Linked DNA regions of Cricetulus griseus. The protein of the gene in region 2 binds, or shares a complex with, the protein of the main gene of each other region. Links are inferred from orthologs where the notes say so. Each region holds a gene or a part of one and is shown on either strand. Other genes may lie near its edges.

Region 1 (4,490 bases), on a different chromosome or scaffold from region 2:
CAGGGTTTCTCTGTGTAGCTTTGGAGCCTATCCTGGTACTCGCTCTGGAGACCAGGCTGGCTTCCAACTCACAGAGATCTGCCTGCCTCTGCCTCTGCCTCCCAGTGCTAGGATTAAAGGCATGCGCCAGCAATGCCAGGCTAGTGTTACATTCTTAATTTTAAGTGTTTATTTGTATGTCTGTGTATGTTGTACATGACATTGAAATGCCCACGGAGGTCAGGTGGGAGTATGAACTCCTGGAGCTATTGTTACAGAGGTTGTGAATTGCCTGGCATAGAGTGGGTGGGAGGAACAGAACAGAGGTCTGCAACAGCCATATGTACTCTTCAGCACTGAGCAAACTTTCCAGTTCTATTATTCTCTCCACTTTAAAATGTATTATTACCGGGGGCTGGAGAGATGGCTCAAAGGTTAAGATCATTGGCCACTCTTCCAGAGGTCCCGAGTTCAATTCCCAGCAACCACATGGTGGCTCACCACCATCTATAATGAGATCTGGTGTCTCTTCTGGTGTGCAGATATACATGGAAGCAGAATGTCGTATACATAATAAATAAAAATCTTTTTAAAAATGTATTATTAGCCAGGCGTTGATAGCACACGCCTTTAATCCCAGCACTCAGGAGGCAGAGGCAGGCGGATCTCTGTGAGTTTGAGACCAGCCTGGTCTACAAGAGCTAGTTCCAGGACAGCCTCCAAAGCCACAGAGAAACCCTGTCTCGAAAAACCAAAAAAAAAAAAAAAAAAAGAAGAAGTATTATTACTGTGTACACAACGTGTGTGTGCCTGCCTCAGCACGGAGGTGGTGTCAGCTTCTCTCCTACATTTATGTGGTCTCAGGGAATTGAACTCAGGTTGGCAGTCTTTTGTAAGTGACATCCTACTAGCTCAAAGTAAGATGTGGCTAAACAGTAGAGACAGCCTGTGACCCCAGAACTGAGAAAGCTGAGGCAGGAGGATCACTACAGTGGGTTTGAGCCTAGCCTGGTTACACGGCTAGTTTCAGAACAGCCTGAGTTACATGGAGTCTATCTCAGTCTCCCCACCCGCAATATGGTGGTGTGGTAGCACATGCTTCTAGTCGAAATACTCAGAAAGTGGAGGCAGGAGGATCACTGTAATGGGTTGCAGGCTAGCTTGGATTACACACTTAAGTTTCTGGACAGACCGAGTTAAGGCGTGAGTCTTGATCACCGATCCACTCATACCACTCCAACAAAAACACTGGGTATGGTGTTATTGTGGTGCACACCTGTCACACCAGCGGGTGAAGGCAGAAGGATCAGAAGTTCCAAGCCACCTTCTGATATTCGAGGACAGCCTGGGCTATTTGAGACCCTGTCTCAAAAATACAAAAAGGAATAAAAGAGTGGCAAGGATCACCCCAATTCCGTATCACCTACCTTCCAGGTCCACCCCGTGGCGCTGGGCCAGGTGAAGAACATTGTCCCCGACTCTGCCCCTCACGGGGATCCGCCGACCAGAGCGGTCCACGAAGACCACGTTGACCCTGGGGACAGACAGGGTGCAGGCGCTGTGAGCCGAGGCTAGCCGGCCGCAGTGGCGGGGCGGGGCGGGGCAGGGCGTGGCGTGGCGGGCACTCACGCGTCCCGGGGCAGCTCCGGGCCGTCTGCCTCGTCCTCGCCTGCGCGCCGCTGTCCTGGAAAACACGAGCGGGTGAGCGGATGCGGCCTCGCTGCCAGCCGCACACCAACCCGGGCCTGGGTACCTGTCGTCCCGAGAGTCCTGGACGTCACTGCCACGTGTCCGGCCCAGGTACCCCAAGATCCCCCGGCGGCCCGCAACAGGACCCGGGCACTCACGCCGCGGGCCATGGAGGCGGCCATGACAGGCCACGTGACCGGAAGACCGAGCATGCTCAGTGCGTAGGCTGCGACTGTAATCGCAGTGTTTGAACGCAGTATGAGGTCAGAGGTGATGTACCAGGATCCAGCTTGACTTCCGGCCTGGAACTGTGGTTGGACACACCCTCCCCACGCTTTGAGTCTTATTGTATGTGTTCTGCTTGTATGCATGAGAACCAAGTGTGTGCCTGGTGCCTGCGAAGCCCAGAAGTTAGAGGGCTGTGTGGATGCTAGGAACCGAACTCCAGTCCTCTGCAAGGACAACGACCGACCAAGCAAGCCTTCAACTTAGAGCCACTTGCCTCTGCTGGAATTAAGTGTTATATGCCACCATGCCCAATTTTTTGTTGGTTTGAGGCAGGTTCTCTATATATAGTCTGAAATGTTGTAGAATTTGCTATGCAGACCAGGCTGGCCTGGAACTCAGATTCTCCTGCCTCTGCCTCCCAAGTGCTGGGATTAAAAGCCAGTGCCACCATGCCCCACTGCAATTTTAGGGATTGTGTTCGTGTGAGGGCAATTTGTGGGAGACAGCTCTGTATCATTTGGGTCCCAGGGATAAAACTTAGGTTGTCAGGCTTGGTGATGTGTTCTTACTGTAATACTGAGCTATCTTGCTGGGCCCATGGTTTGTCTCAAGAAACAGCCAGCTGTTTTTTGTTTTGTTTTGTTTTGTTTTAAACCGTTTACTTACAAACTTTAATTCAGCAAAGGTCTGGGGGAGGGATGAGGGGACACCCCCATGGAGTAGGTTTGGGGAGGGAGGCTGGTGGCTCAGCTAGCCAGGGGCAAGAGTCCCAGTCCCCTCAAGCAGGCAGGCTGTAGAGCTTGTCTGTGTGGGCAGAGAGAAGGCCAGCTTCAGTGGTCTGGCCTAGGGCTGGCGGTGGTGATCTGGGATCAGAGGGACATGGTTAGAGGCCCAGTGACCTGGGTACAATGGTCAGCTTTCATGAACAGCAGCAGGGACTACTGAAGAAGCCAGAGAAAACACTGCTTTCTGTACCCAGGCTTTGGGCTAAGGGGTGGTTTGCCAAGACCAAGGCTTTGGCCTTCTGTCCACAGGGCAGACACCCTGGAGAAAGGATGATCTCTAGGTCAGAGCTCTTTGGTCCTGAGTCAAGCTTCCAGAGCTCGGCATCTGAGCAGCTCTGACCTGGTAGGACCTGTGGCCCAACTTTAAGGCATCAGAAGGCAAGAAGACTATGGCAGGGGGCTGGAGATCTGGGATCGGGTACTGGCCAGAGTAGGCAGGCAGGAAGGGGGCATGAGAAAGCTATACCTGCAGCAGATGATTGGGAAAATAGGGCTAAGCTGTTGGAAACCGGAAGTGTGGAATGGAGGCCCAGGTAGGCCAGACCCTGAAGGAATCAAAGTTGGGGCTTTTCTGGGGTGGGGGTGGGGATGGATGTGGTCATCATCCTGGTTTTAAAAAATAAAAATTAGAAAAGGAAATCAAAGTCAATTGTCTAAGTTTAAAAAAGGGGACTGTCCCTGATCCTCACAGGTCAGGGACACCTCCAAAGGCACTCGAAAGGCCAGAACACAGGAGTGACGAGGCAGGCGAGGAGGCCTGGAGAGCTGGGCACAGGAGGCTAGGAGTTGGGGAGGGAAAGAGAGCAGGCCGGGCCCCTCTCTCTTAAGGCTGCAGGGTTTTGGCTCCAGGAGCAAGCCCACAGGTGTGGCCCCTAGACACCCCCACATTCCTTGAGCTCCGGCTGGTTGGTCAGCAAAGTCTTTTTCAGAGATTTCTCTATTACCCAAAGAAAGGATATTAAAAAAAATAATAAAAATAAAATCCCACAAAAACACAAACACCAGAAAAACCCAAAAGCAATTCGGTGCAGGCCCTTGGAGCATCTCTGGCGCCGACGTCTTTAGAAAATCCTCTTCCGCTTCAGGTAGGAGTCCGCGTAGTGGCCGCCGAGGCCCTGGGAGTGCTGGCCCACGTAGCTGCCCTCTGGGCTGGGCTCAGGCGAGGGGAGCAGGTGGGAAAAACTGCGCTTCTGGCCGCCCAGTGGGGTCTGGAGACAGATGGCAGGGGAGGCAGGGTCAGGGGCCTCTTAGGGGCCAGGGCTCCCCAGCCCGGTGCCACCCCTCCCCCTGCCCGTACCTTTAGCAGGTGGCTGTGACCATTGGGCCCAGGGCCAAGGCCCAGGAGCCCTTCACTGGAGCCCATTGGGGAGGAACCAACAGCCTAGAGGAAATCAAAGTGGTGGGGTGTCACCCCTGGAGGAAATCTTGAGCCCACTTCTAGCCTTGTGCCTGCCACCCAGAGCTACAAGGCCTGGTGGTGATGGAACTGTTTCTCCTCTATTCTCTGGGTATGAGACCACCCACATCTTAGGTGAGCTTGAGATGAGGGGAAGCTGCATAGTGTTAGGCTCCACACACACAAGAGGGAATCAAGTGGCCCATTGCCATTCCACCATGAGCAAAACTGTGAGCCCCACCACCAATGGAGCGGTATCTGAGGCACCTTGGATGACAAAGCCCTTAGAGACAAGACATGGAAACACAGGGCCCAGTCCTTGGTGGGGCAGGCTCCTCACCTTGTTGAGGTGGCTCTGCTTGAGGCCAGCCTGTAGGCCACTGGTGAAGTAAGAGTTGGGTGAACCGGAATAA
Region 2 (3,814 bases):
ATTTTGGTATGTATCAATGGCATCTTTAAAAGTATTACACAACATCAGTAAAAACTAAAAATTAGATGGAGCAGTGTGTTCAAACCTATAATTTTAGCATTTAAGAGGCTGAGGCAGGAGGATTGTTATGAGGTTAGCCTATGCTAATGAGTTCAGGCCAGAATGAGATTGTCTCAGAAAAGAAAATTGAAGATTGAGAAAGATGTTAGTTTTATAATAGATTTATTTTTAAAGGGTAAAACACTCAGACAATTTAAATACAAGTCCAACAGAACCGCTGTCAGTCAGCCATGATGCCATCAGGTGTTCTTGGAATCCTCCCGGTGAGGAAGAAGGCTCTGGCAATGACAAGATAAGTTGGGTTTCTTTTTGGTGTGTAGTCACTGACTCTACGTGCTACCTTTAAGGTGCCCGTGCATTGAAACTAAATACTCTAAGCACTAAAACAGAACAATAGTGACTGTCAACTAAGGCTTAATAGCAGGCCAGTGCCCATCTAGGACCCAATCTGACCTTCACAAAGCCCTGATAGTGTCAATCATCATTGCCACTTTACACGGGGTCAAATTTATAGCTCAGCAGCTTGTTCAAGACCACCAGGCTAACTGCATGCCATCAATAAGGGGCATTACAGCCAGTTTTGTCTCTGAAGCCCGACCTCTTACTTGGGAGTAACCCTGGGCCATATCTGCTTCTTGGAGCAGGTGAGGCTGTGTAAAACTGCTTTTAAGAAGAGGGCTGAGCCCTGTCCAGGAATGATGCTGTCAAGCCTCTCTTGAAGATAAAGACCACTGCAAGGGTCAGGGCTTTGGATGTCAGATAACCCGAAATGGCCTGTGTTCTCTAACAGTCTATGTCAAACACTGCCAACTTTTGTTCTCTGAGTCTTCTTGTATTGAACTACAGACCGATTAGTCCTATGAGAGAAGGTAGTTTATGTCAGATTATTTACCTGATACTTTATTCATATACATCCTTCTTATCTGCAATGTAGTCTACAATTTCTTGTGGACACATTAACTTCTCTGCATCTATATCAGGAATTTCAAACCCTAAAATGAAAAAAAAAAGTAACTGAATATGGAAAAAGCAAACCCTTTAGAACTGAAAGCATATGACTCCACTTCCCCCTTTTAATTTTAGGTCAGAGCCTCACTGAGTTACTCAGGCTGACCTTGAAATTTCAAGTAGCTGTGATTACAAGTCTGTGCCACCAGGCTTGACTTACATTTGGTACTTTCATAATACCTACAGCTGTGTTAAACATCTCCAGCAATCTTAAATCCCATTTCGCTTTTAAGCTGGGCAGGTTTTAGAAAATATATCATGTTGGGCTTAAGTTTTTTTTTTTTTTTTTTTTTTTTTTTTTAGAAATAATAGAAAATTTCTCCTTTAAGTACAAAACTCAGTAGTTTGTAGCATGGTTACAAGGTTGTACAACTATTGCTATTATGTAATTCCCCAAGAATTAATCCAGTTAATCAAAGTCCCCTAGAATAGTGGTTCTTAACCTGTGGGTCCCCTTTGGGGTCACATCAGACATCTTGCATATCAGATATTTATACTATGATCAACAACAGTAGCAAAATTAGAGTCATGAAGTAGCAACGAAATAATTTTATGGTTGGAGGTCACAACATGAAGAAATGTATTAAAGGATCACATTGGGAAGGTTGAAAACCACTGCCCTAGAACTTTTTTTGTTGTTGTTTTTTTCGAGACAGGGTTTCTCTGTGTAGCTTTGGAGCCTATCCTGGCACCCGCTCTTAGACCAGGCTGGCCTCGAACTCACAGAGATCCACCTGTCTCTGCCTCCTGAGTGCTGGGATTAAAGGTGTGCCCCACTAACGCCCAGCTTGAGATCTTTTCTTGAAAACAGTGAAGACTCATAACAAGCAGATCCAAAGCTAAGGTATATATGTTACCAAATTCGTCTTCCATGGCCATAATAATCTCCACTTGGTCCAAACTGTCTAAGCCCAGGTCCTTCATAAAATGAGAATTTACTGAGAGCTGCAAGAAAGAAATACCAAATAAAATTTAATTCATGAAAGTGTTTGTTTCCCAAGACAACAGTGGAACTACATCATCATATAGAAGATTTTCAAAAAAACATCAAGGCTTTAAATAACATGGTGTATTTAACATATACTGGCATGGACACAGTATATTTTGTTAGCTTGTTCAATTTCATTTTAAGGTAGTTAACTTTAGAAACAAATTTAGATAAAGGATTTCATGCTACATATTTTATTAGGATCTTTGATCACTAAAGGATATCTGAGAGAATTTGTTTTCTTGCTATTTTATTAATAAATAAAACCCCTTCTCCCCCAAGCCTAATTGTAGGCTGAGTTTGAGGTCAGCCTGGTTTACATAGTACAGTCAACACTATACAATGTGCACCTACCCTTAAACCCTCCCCCCAAAAATGGCTATTATAGGGTTGTAGCTCATTATAGAACATTTGTCTACTATGCATGAGGCCCGCAGTTACATCCCAGCAACATATACATTCAACAACCAAAATTCCTAAGATTATTATAAATTATAGGTACCTGTCAGATGATAAAATACTGTATTCACTTCAAGATTACCAGGAAATAGTCTTTAAAAATCCATGTTAAGGGCCTGAAGAGATGGCCCAGCAGTGAAAAGCATTCCCTATTCAATCCTGAGGACCAGATTTCAGATCCAGCACCCATGTAACAAGCTGTGTGTCTAGTACATGCCTGTACCAGCTCCAGAGTGGGCAGACACAGGAGGATCACTGGACTTGCTGGTTTCCAGCCTAGATGAGAAAGGACCTCTAGGTTCAGAAATACCTTGTCTCAAAATAGATGGGAGAATGATAGAGGACATCCAGTGACCTCTTCTGTCCTCAGAACACATACAAGCAGACAGAGACATACCCACACGTCCTTTTTTAATAAACTATGTTAAACTACACAACAGATTCCATTACTAAAGAGAAAAACTGTTTATAAACCAACATGAAAAAATTCCAAGAGTTAAGATAAAAAAGAAAGATGCAAGCCTCATGTCATATTACCTCTATAATCCCCGCATTCAGGAGTCAAAGTGTGAGTTTTGGGCCAGCCTGGACTACATAGTGAGACTCCATCTTTTAAAACAAACAAACAACAAACAAACAAACAAAAAGAGGCAGAAGCTGTTCTGGTATATGGACCACCTGTGTTTTTTTTTTTGCAGGCTTTTCTTGTATTGAGGATTGTGATGAGGCCCTGGCATGACAGATGTGTTTCCCCCTGAACTACATTCCCAGAGCACTTGTGCTTTCAGAAGAAAGGGAGATATACATAAACACTGTAGTGGTTTGAATAAGTCCCCAATAAGTCTTGGGTGTGTTAATATTTGGTGCTAGTTGGGAAAGATTAGGACATGCAGTCTTTTTGGAGGAGGTGAGTCCAAGGGGCAGGCTTCGAGGCATTGAAAGCCTCTTCCATTCCTGGTGTACTCTCTGCTTTCTGTTTGTGATTCAAGATGTAAGCTCTCAGTTACTTCTCCAGTGCCATGCTTGCCTGCTTCCATGCTCTCTGCCATGATGGATCTATACTTTAAATATATCCTTCCTTCGTATTTTATCACAGCAATAGAAAAGTAACTACAACAAATACGAATGTTATACATGTGTCTATACTGCCTGACACATCTATTATTTCTCTCCAGAAAGATACAAAAGAAGCTATATCTATACAAGGACAATGCTAATCTAGTAGGATAATGATTGGCTGGAGACTGGGGAGAGTTTTTTTTTTTTTTAAATTTTATTCTTTTGTGCATTGGTGTAGTT

The links.
Region 1: Ndufab1 (region 2) and Fdx2 share a complex: the UniProt entries of both Homo sapiens proteins name them as parts of the mitochondrial core iron-sulfur cluster (ISC) complex. The link is inferred for Cricetulus griseus from reciprocal best matches to the Homo sapiens genes NDUFAB1 and FDX2.

What each region holds. Positions count from the first base shown.
Region 1 is NC_048597.1:133,929,448-133,933,937, forward strand, and holds the start of Fdx2 (ferredoxin-2, mitochondrial), read right to left. Parts: upstream 3,106-4,490; 5' UTR 2,040-3,105; coding exon 1,609-2,039; intron 1,514-1,608; coding exon 1,407-1,513; intron 1-1,406. Other genes in the region: Raver1 (ribonucleoprotein PTB-binding 1), read right to left, coding at 3,743-3,889, 3,979-4,062, 4,418-4,490. UniProt on the Homo sapiens protein: Electron donor, of the core iron-sulfur cluster (ISC) assembly complex, that acts to reduce the persulfide into sulfide during [2Fe-2S] clusters assembly on the scaffolding protein ISCU.
Region 2 is NC_048596.1:78,579,884-78,583,697, reverse strand, and holds the end of Ndufab1 (acyl carrier protein, mitochondrial), read right to left. Parts: intron 2,014-3,814; coding exon 1,926-2,013; intron 1,053-1,925; coding exon 961-1,052; 3' UTR 953-960; intron 339-952; 3' UTR 206-338; downstream 1-205. UniProt on the Homo sapiens protein: Carrier of the growing fatty acid chain in fatty acid biosynthesis.